2 linked regions of the Anolis sagrei genome follow. The main gene of each other region encodes a partner of the protein of the gene in region 2 in a complex. Links are inferred from orthologs where the notes say so. Each region holds a gene or a part of one and is shown on either strand. Other genes may lie near its edges.

The links.
Region 1: the proteins of F2 (region 2) and THBD are in contact, whole or in part, in a crystal structure (PDB 1DX5), measured with the Homo sapiens proteins. The link is inferred for Anolis sagrei from reciprocal best matches to the Homo sapiens genes F2 and THBD. Residues at the interface, in NP_000497.1 of Homo sapiens: Phe382, Ser385, Pro386, Gln387, Leu423, Arg425, Thr432, Arg433, Tyr434, Arg436, Asn437, Glu439, Lys440, Ile441, Met443, Lys470; in NP_000352.1 of Homo sapiens: Ser424, Cys425, Glu426, Cys427, Tyr431, Ile432, Leu433, Asp434, Asp435, Thr440, Asp441, Ile442, Asp443, Glu446, Asn447, Gly449, Phe450, Asp479.

The regions. Positions count from the first base shown.
Region 1 is NC_090024.1:140,401,914-140,411,486, forward strand, and holds the start of THBD (thrombomodulin), read right to left. Parts: upstream 4,018-9,573; 5' UTR 3,754-4,017; coding exon 2,200-3,753; 3' UTR 1-2,199. UniProt on the Homo sapiens protein: Endothelial cell receptor that plays a critical role in regulating several physiological processes including hemostasis, coagulation, fibrinolysis, inflammation, and angiogenesis.
Region 2 is NC_090021.1:279,173,107-279,182,178, reverse strand, and holds the start of F2 (prothrombin), read right to left. Parts: upstream 4,207-9,072; 5' UTR 4,135-4,206; coding exon 4,056-4,134; intron 21-4,055; coding exon 1-20. UniProt on the Homo sapiens protein: Thrombin, which cleaves bonds after Arg and Lys, converts fibrinogen to fibrin and activates factors V, VII, VIII, XIII, and, in complex with thrombomodulin, protein C. Functions in blood homeostasis, inflammation and wound healing.

The sequences.
Region 1 (9,573 bases), on a different chromosome or scaffold from region 2:
CGTGGCATGGCTCCTGTTTTACCCCAGAAGGTTGATTTGATATGAACTTTGTAAGCAACTACTTATTTCATATAAGTAGACTAAAAATATGCCGAGAACATTACATAGAATATTAGACTGGTAAACAATTTCAATAGTGGTTTGAACATTGGACTATGACCCTAAAGTTCCTCACTCAGTCTTGGAAACCCATTGAGGGATTTTGGGCAAGTCACATACCCAGAAATCCTCTTAGGGCCTCTTGAAGTCAAAAAGGACTTGAAGGCACACAGCAACAAACCATGGATTTTGTAAGCATCTTGATTTTAAAATGTTTTTGGAAACAGAGAGTTCGCCTCCCAACCAAAGTCATTTTTCGAAGGTAGATTAGCTCTTCCAGCTTACCAGTTTTCTTCAGTTTTAAGCAGACCAACTCTCTGATAAATCAGGTTGAGATTTGCATATCTACAAAGATTTGGCTCCCAATTGTTTTAATAGCAAAAAAGGTCAACACCCTACCCTTTAAATCCCATTGTTGAAACAAAGGAAGGTTGAGGCAGATGAACTGTGAATTCTTGAACAAAACTCTTGATAGGTCTTTGCATTCCTATAAGAAATTCAGTTTTTGAAGCCTGGGGTATGCTCATCCCTGTGGTGTGTGTGTGTGTGAAGATATGTATGCATGCTTGTACCCCAAAGGCTTCTTCGTGGCTTGATGGATCTGGACCAAACCTGAAACACATGCTTTTCATGATCCAACTTAAAATACTGGTGGGGTTTTTAAAAATCACCCTTTTTTGTCTGTTGCCTTATTTTAAACATGATCTACATTGATATTCCATGAACCTCACACTGAAGCAATCAGAAGCGACCACTAGAGGGCACTGGATAGAAAGTCTATTCCAGAAGAAGAGATGACAAATGGAAGAGAGCTAGTGCATCAGTTTCTTTCAGATGGCCAAAGCCTGGCCACGGAGATGGTGGTGCAGTGGGTTAAACCTTTGTGCCAGCAGGACTGCTGACCAAAAGGTCGGCAGTTTAAATCCGGGGAGTGGGTTGCACTCCCATCTGTCAGCTCCAGCTTCCCATGCAGGGACATGAAAGAAGCTTCCCACAGGATGGTAACACATCCGGGTGTCCCCTGGGCAACATCCCTGCAGATGGCCAATTCTCTCACCCCAGAAGCAACTTGTAGTTTCTCAAGTTGCACCTAACATGGAAAAAAAATCTAAGGGAGGCCTTCTCAGAGGGACAGGCAAAGGAAGTGATCTGGAGAAGGGAGTACTTAAAATGATACAATCTGGGTAATAATTCAGTTCTTAACGGAATCCTACATTCAGAGCAGTGCATTTATATGCATGGAGAAAAAAATTCTCTGTACAGAGAAAATGAGTATTGAAACTTTATAAAACACTAGCATAAGTACCTGACATTGCTTGAGTATACATTTTCTAATGGGACCATTCATAAAATCATAAATTTAACAATAAGTATGTTTAATTTAAAAAGCATTTGAAAATACCATGCCAGGTTTTCTTTTTTAATTGTCAGAAGTGACTTGAGAAACAGCAAGTCGCTTCTGTTGTGAGAAAATTGCCAGACACATATGCTAGTTAAAAATAAATCACAAATGTTATAGTTGAACGCAGTCTCTGTGGCAATCTGCTGCATATTCTTTCTCCCTTGTACAAGTCAGTCTCAAGCGCTGGCCCTGCTTACAATCCATGGCCATTAATAATCATCAGGAAGCTGAGCTGAAAAAGTGTTTCCAGTGTTCCTTCAGAGAACCATTAATATAACAGTATCTGCCCAAGGACTGTCATTGGGATCTGTCACTATTTCCATCCAGTATTTAAAAACATTAAGAAAATAGATCTTCCCAAGGAATGTCATTGGGATCTGTCACTATTTCCATTCAGCTTTTACAAACATTCCCCATTCCCTTTTCCTGCACGCATATGGCCCTTCCACACATATAGCCCAGAATGCCAAGGCAGAATAACCCACAATATCTGCTTTGAACTGGGTTATCTGAGTCCACACTGCCATATATCCCAGTTCAAAGCAGATAGCATGGAATTTTATTCAGCTATGTGGAAGGGGCCATAGTCTCCTACATTTTCTTTCTTAATTGTTTGGGCTGACCTGCTACAGAACCACACTACAGACTTCCTGAATCCTTTCAGGGCTGTGCAGTGCAATGCAATGCTTCTTCATCAACTAGCACACAAGCACTACTGTCACAATACTCATCAACACTGTACTAACAATGGGTCCAACAAGCACCCCTCGGCTGCTGCCATCCTTTGGTGGTACAGTAGTAGTAGCCGGTGTGCTGGAGTACACTTCCGTTCCACCTGAGCCCTCCTCATCTTCCTCACAGGGCTTCTGATCTTGGACATGCCCACTGGGGCAGATGCAATGGTAACTTCCTGGTGTATTCACACACTCCAATTTACCACATTCCCCGGAATGACACTCATCAATATCAGTACAAACTTTAATGTCATCTTCGGTCACGTCAGAGATGAAACCGTCTGGGCAGTCGCAGTGGTCTCCCGTGTGGGGGTCGCACTCTGCCGGGCACTGGCTCTGGTTACAGAACTGGAGACATTCGTTGGGCTTTAAGGGGTTCGGAACATAGCCCTCAATGCAGGTGCATATGTGCTTCCCATTTATGAGGGTGCAGTCGTGCTGACAGAGCAGGTCGAAGCAGGGCCGCCTATCCTCCTGGCACTTGCCCTCAACCATTTCGTAGCCTGCCGAGCAGCGGCACTTGAAGCCCCCCGAGGTGTTGAGGCACTCCTGTTCGCAGGGACCAGGTTGGGTCTGGCAGTCGTCTACGTCCACGCAGCTCTTGCCGTTGGTGTCCAACAGGTAGCCTTCCATGCACATGCAGACGGCGGAGTCGCCTTGTGTCACGCAGTGATGCTCGCAGTCCAGGTGGGCACAGAGGGACCGGCAGCTCAGACTGTCGGCCTCTAGGAAAGCCACCCCACCGGGGCAAGTACAATAAGGTTGCCCTGTCTCTCCAGGGTGGCATTGCCCCTCGCAGCCCCCGTTCTCCAAGCGACAGTCCCAGGCGCCTTGCGTGACAGAGCGCCAGCGCCCTCGGGGCTCCTCCTGGCCTTGTGCTATGCACTCCAGGGTGGCCCCCAAGCTGGGCACTTGGGCCGTGCTCCCTGGGGGCAAGGATGCCAATTCTGCCTCCCGGGCCCCGAAGGGAGTCACGTAAAGCACCTCCGCGGATGGTGGGGGATTCAGAGGAGCGCAGGTGCCAGAGGGGAAGCTGTATTCGCAAAGGAAGCCGTCGGAGGGGGCGTCGCAGCTGCTCTCCTCCCAAGACAGCGCTTCTGGGGTCACCACCACGCAACGGGGGCCACACAAAGCAGGCAGGGAGTCTCCCTCTGCTTCATCTCCATCCCAGGCGGCGTAGTCGGTGCGCTCGTCGCCGGAGACCCACTGGAAGCCGCGCAACTTCTTTCCCCGCTCCCGGCAGGCGCCCACAGGCAGGCGCAAGCCCAGCCAAGCGCGGCCCGGCCCGCCTCGCAGGAGCAGAGCGATGGCCTCCGCTGCCACCGTCGAGCGCACCGACATGAGCCGCCCGCCGCCTCCCTGGCACGCCTGGTCCGCCTCGGAGAAGCTCCGCGCCACCCAGAACAAGGCGAAGCAAGCCGAGCCCACGCACTGCGCCCCCGAAGGGGAAGGGGAAGGCGGCGAGGGAGCGGACACCGCCAATACCACCGGCAGCAGCAGCAGCCTCAGGAGCCACATGCCTGCTTGCCTGCGGGAAGGAGCCCTCGGCTTGGCTTCCCTCCTTCAGGCAACGCGCCGCCCTTATAACGCCCTCCATGAGGGAAAGACAAGGCCCCGCCCTCCAGGGCTCTTCGGCGGCGGAGAGGGCGCGCCGGGCCGGGCCGGGTCTTCCTCAGGGGCGGACCCGCAGCAGCCTCAGGGCGGGGAAGAAGGGCGGCTGCTCCTTCTTCCCCTTCCCTTCCCCTCCCACTAGAATTCTCTACGGGACCGAGGAACCCTACAGCTACACCCGCGCGCTTTCCTGTCTCTTGAGTGGAAACGCAGAAAAGGGAGTTCCCCTCCCTTGTCCTGCCCTTCCCCGCCCCGCCCTCTCGGCGCTGCACGTGCGCCTCTGAGGGGTTTCCCGCCCTCTCGTGGGGAGGACAACGCAAGGACTTTCCTCCTGGGTGAGGCCGCGAAGCCCACTGCCTTCTCTTCCTCACAGACCCCCCCCCCCTTTCCCCTTTTCCACCTTAGATGACCCAGGGCAAGATGCCTTCAGAAGAGGCCTGCTGTTTTCTTACTCAGGCCCCTTCCACACAGCTGTATAAATATATGCAGCCTGGATTCACATAACCCCATTTAAACCAGATATTGTGGGTTTTCTGACTTGATATTGTGAGCTACATGGCTGTGTAGAAGGCAACTCAGATAACCCAGGTCAAAGCAGATATTGTGGGTTATCTGACTTGCTATTCTGGGTTACATGGCTGTGTGGAAGGGCCCCCAAATAACACAGGTCAAAGCAGATATTGTGGGTTATCTGACTTGATATTGTGAGTTACATGGCTGTGTAGAAGGCAACTCAGATAACCCAGGTCAAAACAGGTATTGTAGGTTATTATCGGACTTGATATTCTGGGTTATATGACTGTGTGGAAGGGGCCCTCAGATAACCCAGGTCTAAACAGATATTGTAGATTATCGGTGTTGATATTCTGGGTTATATGGCTGTGTGGAAGGCCCTTCAGATAACACAGGTCAAAACAGATATTGTGGGTTATTGGACTTGATATTCTGGGTTATATGGCTGTGTGGAAGGCCCCCTCAGATAACCCAGGACAAAACAGATATTGTGGGTTATCGGACTTGATATTCTGGGTTATATGGCTGTGTGGAAGGGGCCCTCAGATAAACCAATTCAAAACATATATTGTGGGTTATCTGACTTGATATTCTGGGTTACATGGCTGTGTGGAAGGGCCCCCAAATAACCCAGTTCAAAGCAGATATTGTGGGTTATCTGACTTGATATTGTGGGTTACATGGCTGTGTGGAAGGCCCCTCAGATAACCCAGTTCAAAGCAGATATTGTGGGTTATCTGACTTTGATATTCTGGGTTACATGGCTGTGTGGAAGGGCTCCCAGATAACCCAAGTCAAAACAAATATTGTGGGTTATCTGACTTGATATTCTGCGTTATATGGCTGTGTGAAAGGGCTCCCAGATAACCCAGTTCAAAGCAGATATTGTGGACTATCTGACTTGTAGCCCCCAGTGGCGCAGTGGGTTAAAGCACTGAGCTGCTGAGCTTGTTGAACGAAAGATCGCAGATTCAATTCCATGGAGCGGCGTGAGCTGCTGCTGTCAGCTCCAGCTTATGCCAGCCTGGCAGTTCAAAAACATGCAAATGTGAATATATCAATAGGTTCTGCTCTGGTGGGAAGGTAACGGTGCTCCATGCAGTCATGCTGGCCACATGACCAGGAGGTGTCTGTGGACAACGGCAACTCTTCGGCTTAGAAATGGAGATAAGCACCAACCCACAGAGTCGGACACGACTGGACTTAACGTCAGGGGAAAACCTTTACCTTTACTTTACTTTACTTTACTTTACTTTACTTTACTTTACTTGATATTCTGGGTTATATGGTTGTGTGGAAGGGCCCACAGAGACAGTGACTTGCACAGGGTTTTTTAAATGTTTTGTGTCAAAAGCATTGCATAAATAAGCATAAAACTGATAAACTAGAGGGAACACAAGCGGCTAAATAATTTTAGACCAAAAATGGGCAACAGTGACCATACTGTCTGTAGCTTTAAACAGTTCTTCCTCTGTGCATGAAGGCAGGGCATTGTGGGCAAGCATACAGGTGCAGAGTTGTTTGTTCTGCTCCACAGTCACACAAGGTGAAAGATTCTTCTAGGTCAGTGGTTCTCAACCTGTGGGTCCCCAGGTGTTTTGGCCTACAACTCCCAGAAATCCCAGCCTTTTTTTCCAGATGTTAGGATTTCTGGGAGTTGAAGGCCAAAACATCTGGGGACCCACAGGTTGAGAACCACTGTCCTAGAGAATATTGTATTTGTTTTAACTGGAAGCTAATTTCCCTGGATAGGGCTCAGCTTTCCCACCAACCAAAGTTGGTTGCTCTTGCCCACAAGAACCCCAGAAGCAATGCTAGGCCCAAGATACTCAAGTTATGAGTATCTCTTTTAGAACAGGTAGTAATCCCAGTCCCTGATTATTATTTTTCTAATGACTGGGGAAGCAGACAGTGGTAGTGCCATTTAGCCAGGTTGTCTTTTGATCTGCCCACTCCTCTTCTGAGTCTGTTGAGTGACTTCCAAGTTGCCCATTCTTGGTTTGCCTCTGGACGCAGACCCTCATACGGGGGATCCAATTGGGAAGTCCTCAAACTAAGATGTTGTGATCACCACCAAAGCTGAGGAACAAATCTAAGTGCTAAGGGCTAAATCTTCAAATTAAGGCCCACAGGCAGATGCAGCCCACCAAGGTCATTCACCCGGTCCCCAGCTTTAGATTTAGAGTTGCCCTCAGTTTGAAATGGCTTGAAGGCACACAACAGCAACACTCCTCCTACTTGATTTGACTATTGCCATAAGCCCAAAGCAGGCCCACATTTGCCATTGAAACACTGGTATGTTATTGTTGGTTAAAATTGTTCTTCATTTCCAAAATTGTATTGTTCTTTCATTCTTTTGGCACTAAAATAAGATATGTACAGTGTGCATGGGAATTAATTCATTTTTTTCAAACTATAGTCAGGTCCCCCAGCAACCTGAGGGACTATGAACCAGCCCTCAGCTTAAAATGCTTGAAGAGGAGGGTGGCAAAAATGATCAAAGGTCTGGAGACTATGCCTTATAAGAAGCGTCTTAAAGAGCTGGGCATATTCAGCCTGCAGAAGAAAAGGTTGAGAGGAGATATGATAGACAGGTATAAATGATGCCATAAGGAAGAGGGAGCAGGCTTGTTTTCTGCTGCCCTGGAAACCAGGACACAGAGCAATGGGTTCAAATTACAGGAAAGGAGATTTCACCTGAACATTAGGAAGAACTTCCTGAGTGTAAAAGCTATTCAGCAGTGGAACTCTTTGCCTCGGAATGTGATGGAAACCCCTTCCTTGGAAGCTTTTAAATAGAGGCTGGATGGTCATCTGTCGGGGGTATTTTGATTGTGTTTTTCCCGCATGGCAGGGGATTGGACTGGATAGCCCACATGGTCTCTTCCAACTCTATAATTCTAAGACCCTTGCATTAAACCATGTGTTGGTTTATATATGTGATCTGTTGATCTATATAGTTTAAAACTATGAAAGCATGGATCTCTTGTGTATTTTTAACTTCTTTAGTCTTACATATTAGGAATTGATCCTTGGGCATCATCCCCTCCATTGTTTTGTTACCAATAGCTGAAAGTTCTCAGACAACTGAAGATGGGTGCCCATCATCCTCAGACAGTCACCATGACCAGGAATGCATCCTGCAGCTTGCAGCGCTTTCCTTTTCTAATAGACTGCTTCAACTTACAAAGGATTTTGGGCCTTTCATGGAAGCAGCCACGTATTGTAAAATTCATTAATATAAGCAATATGTCGATTTTACAAATGAAAATCTAGCTCAATTGCTTAAATCAATAGTTTTATTTGACATTTCACAAACTTTTTAATTATTTCCTGACTGTCAGCCATGCAGGCCATAAATTGACAAATTGCCAATTCCCCACTCCTCCATTGCTATTTTAAATGCCTGTCAACACTATGCTGAAAAAATGGGAGTGGGGCAAGAAGTACTTGTCAGTCGCAAGGCCGAACAGGGCATAGGGTTACAGCCTGTGTTGGATGGGGTTACACTCCCCCTGAAGACGCAGGTTCGCAGCTTGGGAGTGATCCTGGACTCATCGCTGAGCCTGGAACCCCAGGTCTCGGTGGTGGCCGGGAGAGTTTTTGCACAATTAAAACTTGTGAGCCAGCTGCGCCCGTACCTTGGGAAGTCTGATCTGGCCACGGTGGTCCACGCTCTTGTTACATCCCAAATAGATTACTGCAACACGCTCTACATGGGGTTGCCTTTGAAAACTGTTTGGAAACTTCAGTTAGTCCAATGGACGGCAGCTAGATTAATCACCGGAGCGTCATACAGGGAGCATACCACTCCTCTGTTACATCAGCTCCACTGGCTGCCGATCCAGTTCCGAGCACAGTTCAAAGTGCTGGTTTTGACCTATAACCCTATACGGCTCCGGCCCAGTGTACCTGTCCGAACGTATCTCCTTCTATGTCCCACCTCGGAGTTTAAGATCTTCGGGGGAGGCCCTGCTCTCGGCCCCACCTCTATCACAAGTGAGGCTGGTGGGGACGAGGGACAGGGCCTTCTCGGTGGTGGCCCCTCGCCTGTGGAATTTACTCCCCAAAATTAGGAAATTAGGGAAATTAGGTCATCAACATCCCTCCTCTCCTTCTGAAGGAAGCTGAAAACATGGATATGGGACCAGGCCTTCAGGTAATCTGGCAGACTGACATGGTAATGATGACCAGAAATTGGAATGGACTATGGTAATGCTGAATGGACTTATGGATATTAGAACTCGGTGAACATTGGCCACTAGATTGGCTTTTAATTGTTACTGTTTTAATTGATTGTTTTAACTATTGTGGTTATTACTGTTATGTAATTTATCTGTTGAATTGTTGGCATCGAATTGTGCCGGTTGTAAGCCGCCCTGAGTCTCCCCTTGGGGATTGAGAAGGGCAGGGCAGAAGTGCCCAAAATACATACATACATACATACATACATACATACATAAGTAACGTTGAAACTGAATTTTTAAAATGACAATAGCATTGTCAGGATTGCAGTTAGTATCACATGTAGATTATACCCTAAAGGGCTCCTTCACACTACACACAATGTTTTTGTTTTACAATTATTATATTGTAAATATGTGTCATAATAATTTAGGTGCACTGAATTCTTACAAGTGTGAAGGGGGAAATGTGGATTATTTCTGAACATGGATATATGGCTATGAGGTAAAAGTCAGTAATGACTCTACAACAGCTGTTTCTGAGTATTTTGTGATGTCCATTCAGTATGTGTGTCACAGGCATACACCAGAATAGTTGTGAGAAATGCAGCTGCTGTGATGCCTGGCTGGCCTTCATCCTTCTGACCTTCAGCACAGCAGCTGTTGACTGTGAGATTGATGCCAGATGTAATCACAAACTCTTTTGAGACAACATGCCTTTCGGTGCTAGACTTTCTATGGAAAGGAGAGGCAGAAGGCTTGGGGTTTGTCATATTTGCCTCAGTCTCCTCTTGCGCAAGAGCAGATCGGGATATCTTTATTTTCCAAGATGTCTCGTCGCACTCCATTATGAAATAGTGCATTCCATATGACACTATCCCTAGTAAGTAAGAGTGGTTTGCATCAGTTTGCATGAGTTTGGTAAGAAGAGAGATGGCAGGCCTCCCCTCTCTAATAGATGAGTTTTGAACTTTGGGAACCTCCCCACCTCTCAGACTGAGTCCCCACTGACTCAGAGGAGCTGCAAGGG
Region 2 (9,072 bases):
TTGCCTCTGCTCAAGAAAGACTAGAAGAGCAAAACAGACAGTCAATCACTAGTAGAGCAGGACCAGTCTTTCATTTTTTTAAAGAACCGTATATTCAGTGATATAGTGATGTTAGACATCTAGGCCCCCACCAAGACAGCCTCTATGTCAACACCCCATAAAGAGCACAAAAGTGCAAGTAGTTGTGGAAAGCCAATGCATCCTACCAACATAAGACCAATCCACCCCAATAAGCAGGGATCGCTGACTAGGAAAACTATTTACTAGGAAAAGTTATTTCCATTCCTGATACTGTGGGATTTATAGCTATACTTCTTACAGGGAACAGGAGGATCTGGGGGTGGGGGTGGCAGAGGTTGTCATACTCCTGCTAATGAAAATGTCCTAGAACTTTGACTTTGGAAACCAGGCCCCATTACATCATTTAGATCTAGGGTGAGCCCTTCACCACTTATCTGCTTTAGGTCTTATAGGCAACGATGGAGGCTGTTCAAAATCATTTGGAAGACTCTAGTAGTTTTTTTTACCACTTATTTCATATAGAAGAATGAAGAAGGATTCTGAGGAAAGTATTTTCCTGTAAGGGAGGTTTCAAATACATGCATACGTAAGTACATACATACATTGAACAGCAAATCAAGCCTGAAATCTCCCTAGAAGCCAAGATGACTGAACTGAGAGTGTTGCCTTTGGTCATATCATGTGAAAATATGATTCATTAGAAAAGACAATAGTGCTCATTACAGTAGTGGGAAAAGAGTAAGACCATAGTCAAGTTGAATAGGTTCAATCACAGAAGATATATCCCTGAGTTTCTAAGATCTGAGCATAGCTGGTGGTAACAGTGTGACTTGGTGGTCTCTCATTCATACAGTGTTGCCAGAAATTGAAGCTGACTGGAAAGCAATTAACAACAACAAAATTTCTACTAATGGGTTACTACCACATCCAGATTAGCAACACTAAGGGAAGCAACTAACTTCTTACTGATGTTTTTGGATTGCAACTCATGATCAGCTGACAGCAGTCCAAGCACTGTTAGATCTTCTGATCTATATAGTGTTGACCTCACTGGGACAGAAGAAGAAAGGGGCACCCAACAGAAAGGTGCTTCAAACAAAAATCCGGGTGACTTGATCAAATAAACTACATCACACTTACTAGAATAAGTAAGTTATCAGTATGTTTCAGATACACAGTTCCAGATCACAGGTAGCTGTGTATAGTATATTCCTCTAACTTTACTATCTACTGAAGGTTTAATAATTTGAAATTAATGCACATTAAATTAATATTCTGACCATCAATTCAACAGAAAAGATAGAAGATTATATCAAATTATAAAGCTTCATTTCTTGAATTGTTCCTAAAAGACAATACTAAACTATTCATTTGGTTTTCACTGATCTGAATAATATTCCTTTTTTGCCAGTCTTCTTTTGTTTTCTTCATTTTTATTGTTTGTGTTATGGAGTTTTATTTTTTGGCTGCGTTAAATTTCTTGCTTATGTTAAAGAGCTTTATCTTCTGGATGGGTTAAGTTTTTTCACCTTCTAAAACTCAATCACATCTCTTTGTCTTGCGGAAATGAATTGCTAAGCGGGTTGAATGGAGAAGGTATAAATTCTGTTCTCTTTCTTTTTCAGAAAAACAAAGTACTACAAAGAGGTTTTTCTGTGCAGACAGGAAAGAATAGGTTAAAAGAGCACAGAACATTTCAATTACAAATATTTGTTTCTGTGTACAAATTAGAACCAATGCATATTCCACAATATTTCACAGATAAAACAGAGACATTGTGACCAAACAACACTGGAATGCAGTTTAGACTGCAGTTGTTATTTTAGGGGAACACACATGAATTAGGAGAGGCTGGAACAATTTAGCCTGAACCTATCACAATTGGCAAGATTACACACCACTCCTCTTCCTTGTGCTGAGTTAATTGCATGCTAGCTACTTTTGCATTTTGAACTCACCAGTAAGTGAAGGTAAGGAAAGAAAAGAAGGGGAAAGTGGAAAGAGGAGATAGAAATTGGGACATTCAAAACAGTGGTACGCCAGAGGATTACTCAGGGTTGTCCTTGCTGAATTGGTGCAGTTGGGGGTATGGTACAGTCCAGTAACAGATGTTACTAAAGAGAAAATATGACCAGTCTATGATAGGCTTAATGTGGGAGAACTAGATCTTCAGATTGCTATGAATTGTCTTCAAGTCACTTTCAAATTGACCATATGAATGAGAAACTTCCAAGAGACTTAGCCATGCTCAAGGTTTGTAAACTCAGGGCTGACTTCTCAGATTGACTTTACCCACCTACAATGTGGTCTTCCTCTTTTCCTACTGCTTCCCACTTTGCTAAGCATTATTGACCAAGGTATAATATCTTCGGTTTGGTTATTTTGGTTTCTGGGGAAAGTTCAGGCATGATTTGCTCTTGGTCAAATTTATTGGCCTTTTTAGCAGAACTCTCCTCTAGCACCAAGTAGAGAATTCTCTTCTCAACTTTCCTATATTGTCTAGCTTTCACAACCATACATAAATCTTCCACTGAATGTAATATCAGAGTTCTGCCAATGTATGGCTGCCTGCAAGAGTATGTTACATCTTTTTGATCAATGCCTATTTCCACCTATTTCTTCCTGTTTGCATAGAAAGGCTTGTTTATTCAACCCTCATGGCATGAGTACCTCTTTGGTAGAATGTGCTGGTCTTCTGTTTGCCTAACCCCAGTGTTTGACCCTTTGTAGTCCTTTCCATATGCAACATGCAGGGACACACATTTTCCTTTCTTTTCCAGATAGAAAAACTTCACCGCCTAGTTCCAGCACCAAGTTTTGAAGAATGATAAGACAAAAATAAATAAGTGGCTGACTGGCAACAGATAGGCTGGATTGAAATAGTGGAGCAAAGTATTTATGCAGCTGCTGCTGTGGGTTGCATTGCATAAACACTTAAGCCTTAATCAACTTAAAGTTTCCATAAATGTTCTCTATGTGATAGTAACAGATCTAAGTTGGAGGTGAGAAGCACAAATTGGTTCTCAGAAGATAAGCAATGAAGGACTTGGAAGCACCAAAACTGGTTCCCTCCATATCCATTGCTTGAGCACACATTCTCCTCTCAGGGACAGAAGAGCAGCCAGATAGAGCTCCATCATACTTTGACTCAGCAGTTGACGAGAAGCCCTCCCTCCAAATTACAACTGCTATCACTTTGGCCTCAAAATGGGAGAAGAGCAGCCAGCATCTGCTGAACTTGATCTCACACTTAATTCCATTCCCTTTTCCTAATGCGTCATGTTTTATTTAGATTGTAAGCCTGAGGGAAGGGGACTGTCGAACTGATGATTTCTAAGTTGCCATGGGATACCTTTTGGCAGAAGAGTAGGGCATAAATACTCAAATAAATGAACAAACAAACTTAGAAAAATTATATTCAGAGCCAGGAGAAGAAACTTTTAAAAATATTGGCGAGAATCCGATTCTATTAAGTCTAGCCAGATAATGAACTAGATTTAAAATGAATAGACACACACCCTGTCGATCTCCCCAGAATAAGGCAAACGTGGGTCCTGAATAATCTCTAATTATTTATATGCTCTCAAGTATAAAGATAAAATTAAAAATTGCCTGAAGACAGAAGTCACTAGCAACTCTTTCAGTCTAGCTTCCACACTTTTCTCTCAAGGACCACAAATTATTTCCAAAACTGTATTTTCCCAGAGTTTACTAAAATGCCAGTTTTTTCCAACTACAACTCACAGAATATTTCAACGATTCTTAGAGCTATAATTTTCCATGTTCTGAGCCTTTCAGTTCCAAAGTTCTTGCAGAGGTGTGTCTCTGCACGGCTGCCATGCTCACCTCTTCTTCAGTGTGATCCTGACTATTTCTCTCAATGACTGGCTGCTTTCTCCTTCATATCAAGGATGCCCTGGATTCTTTCTTGTCCTCTGCCTTCATTTTGTTTTACTGTTCCAGCCCCACCACAATATTCTGGCTTTGCTGATTGACAGATGCCACCTTCCCCATCCCTTCCTGCGTATCCTTACCCGTGTCGTAGCTCTGGGTGAAATGTACAAGGCTGATGAGGAGAAAAGCCCTCAGCATTTTGGTTCTGCTGTGTCCCATTGTGTGGGTTCCTGAGCTACAGGAAAAATGCAGAGGGGAAACAGAGGAGAAACTATTGCAGCCCAGCTTGGGTTAATGTTGAACCAGCATGAAGAAAGAGGAACCAGGTCACAGTGTGTCAGGGACAGTTGTACTGAAGAGCTTGCTCTTGCACCCACCCTGGCTTCCCTCCCTCTCTTCGGAGCATTTTTGTTTTCTGCTGCTTCATTAGCATATGCAAACCATGAAAAAGAAGTCTCCAATGCATATATTTCACTTATTTCAAATAAGCCCAAACAGAGCTAGCCATCCTGAACTTTGTGAAATAATATAAAGGCCACTTCTTGAAAGACAGGATATCAAAGTGTCCAATCTCACTGTCATGGAGATCTTGCCAAATTGTTATCAAAGTGTTTCCAAGTCTTTGATTTGGGGACCTAGTTGCAAGATGCAGCTACTCCAAGGATGAGGCATTCCTATTTCACAGTCGCACTATTCCTAATAAACTCCTCGACAAGCCAGAGTTTCCTTAATTTAAATAATATTAATTTTCTTAATAATAAAACCCATCACTTAGAATCTTAGTGTGCGAACTTCCTCCATAGATAACTATGTAGTCCAATATTGAAACCACTACACCATTTTCACTCTTTTGCATGGTAAATGTATAAAATGATATGGTGACAGTTACTAGCTTAGAAGATAATTTTAAAGAAAGGTTTGGACAAACAAATTAGGCTAGGTTGATCACAGGGGGTTGGGAATGATAATCTTATACAACTACTAACATAGTTACTTGGAATTAAGTCAGTTGAATGAAATGCACCCTGTTTCTGGTATCTAGAACTGCATAGTAAATGCAATTATTTGTGGAGGTAATATACTTTTCAGAACCAGATAAAGAAACCTGAGGGATGTCTGTTTTCATGATACCATCCTAGTGAGCTTCCAGGGACATTTGGCTAGATGACTGTTACAAAGAGAATGCTGGCATTGATGGACTTAATCCTATTGTTGCTCTTGATAAGGAAAGGCCCATGGAAACAAATGGATTTATCTGCATATTGACTCATCACTCAAGAATTGATTAAATAAGTCTACTACTTTAGTTGGCATAAACAAACAGAACTCCAGTTGATAAATCCAGCAAATATTACAGTGTTTTCATTTTTTACTGAGAAATGACTAAATAATGAAGTTAAGGGTCCATGCACCTTGATCATATGTATATCTCTTAGTTATTTAGTTTCAACATTAACTAGACATCTATGATTGAGAGAAGAAGAAAAAAAACAGCATATGGATGGTATGTAAAGTAGCAATATCATTAGCAACTTTCAGTTCATAATGTATAAGTACTAGAAACTCCAAATTCAACTTAAAATCTTTTGGGAGGGAGTCCACATCTAAGACAACAATAAGTTCTGAATGAAAAATACCAGGCCCTAAACACCTTTTCTTGATCCTCTCAATCTCTCTTTACTTCTGAAATAGTTTTCTAGTCAGTATTTGCTCTCTCTATCACAGGCGGGTAAATATTAGCATTAGCACAACTGGGAAACAACTCTTTGGCCACTTGTACAAAGAGCAATTACACCATCCTCTATTCCAATTTGAGAGCAGGGTTTGAAGAACAGAGTTTCACACATCCCTGGTATAAAACAGAGGGATCATTAGAAACTAAATTATTGTACATATGGGACTATGTTGATATAATGTCACCTCAGTCGCAGGCATGTAGCCGGGGGGGGGGGGGGGGGGCTTGAAGGGTTTCACCCCCCCCCCCGAAATTCTCATGTTGGTCTGCGAGAAGGCCTTACTGGTGCATTATTTAAACTGTTATGTTTATTCATATCATGATCTGATCACCATACTCAATATATCCCATATGCATGGGGGTATTGGGGCAACGATACAAAAGGTTTGCTAAGGTAGACCCTCTTTCACTCAGACTCAGCCCCCCCTCCCGAAACAAACTACCCCTCCCCCCGAATTGAAATCCTGGCTACAGGCCTGCTCAGTCGTGTCTGCAATTAACAACCCGAGACCTTACTGTGACAAAAGACCCAGGAGACATTACAAGTGCGAGGAAGATGCCAGAGAAAACAGGTGTGTTCATTCCATAGAATCATAGAGTTGGAAGAGACCACAGGGCCATCTCTAGTCTAATCGTCTTCCAAGTAGGTGTGTGTATGTGTGTGTGTGTATATATGTATGTAGGTATATGTATGTATAAATTAGATAGGTAAGTAGATAGATATTTATTTCGGGTATTTTTTTACCCCGCCCTTCTCAACCCCCTAGGAGGGACTCAGGGAGGACTCTGTCTGTAGAAAGGTATCTATCTGTAGATAGATACAGATAGAAAATAAATTAAGGTACTCTTGCCATCCAACCTGTTTAAAGACCTTCAATGAAGGAGAGATCTACCACTTTCTAAGACAGTCCAGTTCACTGCTGAACCACACCATCAGAAAATTTATCCTAATCTTTTGGTGGATTCTTAGAATTTAAATCCACACATTTCTGTCCTTGGTCATATGTACTGTACACAGGCTGGAAAACCTGGTGCTGGTCTGGAATGCAGTATTCCTGTCTGTCCCCAGTCTGACTACATTGCCTGTCTCCATCCCATTGCAGACAATGCTTACCTTTGTCTTCCTGTCACCATCATATTTTTTAAATTTTATTTACAGCATTTCTACCCCACTCTTCTCACCCCCGCAGGGGGTCTCAGAGTGGCTAACAATGGCAACAATTCGATGCCGCAATAATTACAATTATAAACGCAAAATAAAATCATACAATACAATATATTGAAACAACATTAGTTATCCAATCATAAAGGCATTTTCATTATAACCGTTTGGTCCAATTCACGGTTCAGGTGCCGTATATATCCATTAGCCAAAAGCCTGGTTCCCCAACCATGTCTTCAGTTTTCTTCTGAAAGAAAGGAGAGAGGACACCGATCGAATTTCTCTGGGGAGCGAATTCCACAGACAGGGGGTCACCACTGAGAAGACCCTGTCCCTTGTCCCCACCAGCCGCGTTTGCAAAGCTGGTGGGACCGAGAGCAGGGCCCCGACAGATCTTAGACTACAAGGCGGAACGTAGAGTGAGATACATTCAGAAAAGTAAGCTGGGCTGGAGTCGTATAGGGCTTTATAGGCCAAGACCAGCACTTTGAATTGTGCTCGGAAATGGACCAGCAGCCAGTGGAGTTGACGTAACAGGGGGGTGGTATGCTCCCTGTACAATGCTCCAGTGAGCAATCTGGCTGCCACCCGTTGGACTAGTTGAAGTTTCCGAACAGTCTTCAAAGGCAACTCCACATAGAGTGTGTTGCAGTAATCTATTTGGGATCTAACCAGAGCATGGACCACCGTGGCCAGATCAGACTTCCCAAGGTTATGTAGGTAACATGATGATAATGTTTATCATGTCACCTATATAAATAGTTTAAATACTCTAAAGGCATCTGTCTAATCTCAGAAGCTAAGCACAGCCAGCTCTAGTTAATACTTGGATAAGGGCCACCAAGAAATAATGGGGGCAGCAAACTGTATTTCAGAGAATATTTCTTGCCTAAGAAAATTTTATGAAATTCATGGCATCACCAGAAATCAGCAGGCAACTTTAGACCTATACTGGTAGTTCCCAACTTTTTTTTTTTTGGCAATGCCCCACCTAAGCCTTTCTAAAACCCTGACCCCCTCCCCCATGGCAATTGTCATTACTCAAAAAGTAAACTCCTATTCACACGGAGAAACCTTAAAAGGCCATAAAGTTGGTCCAAACAAGCTTCCAAAATAACATGGCATCCAAGAAAGAGAAAAAGAAAAGAATAAATGAATTTGAGTAATCTGCATCAAATTCAGGGTAACTTAAACGCCCAATGTCATTGTGTGTATTTGGTGAGAAAAGCGTTAATATCGTGTCACCTGATGTTAATTTTCTTGCAGGGGATCATCTTTTTTTCATACAAAATACTGACTTACCTATGAAGGTAATAATTATGTTTTGGATTTTTTCACATTATGTCTTGCTGCATTCATATGTAGAACAAAAAGACATTTATATATGTTTTATATAGCTTGTAATGTTACAAGAACACTATGAGGAGTGGAGTGTTTGGCATAAAAGTGGTCTCCTGTTTCTGTACTAATGCACTCTCTAGTTTATGCTCTCTCAATTCCTCTCTATGAGTGGGCTCTCCCCAATCCTTTGTCTCCAATCGATCACCCTGTACATTCAAATGTTATTTTTTAAAATGTGTATGCCACAATATGTATTTGTATTCTGTGTTTGAGTCTCCTAGAACCACAAGAAATGCAAAGAAGCAATGTTAATAAAGCATTCTCGAATTGCCCATTAAAAATCAAATTGCCCTCCTGTGAGGTGTGTTCCCCATGTTGGGAACCAGAGGCACACACACACACTTTTTTGGCACCTCTCAGTTTATAAACTAAACATATTCAGCTCTCTAATTGTGTCTTCATAGCACTTTGTTTCCAGACATATTACCATCTTGATCATTTTCCTATGGTCAATTTCTAGGATCCTCGGGTGTTTCCAGACAAAGCTTGTAGAATGGCCTATGCAGAATGGCTTCTGTAGGTATTGGATCTGTCCACAAAAGTGAAGTAAGCTAAAAATAGGGAGAAAAGAGAAGTGAAAGAACACAAGAAGATGACAAAGTGAAGGTGATTTTTTCCTGACACACCAAAATCTGAATAAAACAAGGCAATTGCACAACAAATACATCAACCCCTTGGTTCAATCTCAAACAGAGGGTGGGAAAGATTCACAGTGTGATCCCCAAGTTCCCAATGGGAAAGGCTGCGCTACATGAAAATCAGAGGTCTTGTCACACTATAGAATTGTAGTGATATTATTCCACTTTAACTGCCATGGTGTCAGCCTATAGATTCTTGGGATTTGTACTTTACCGAGTCC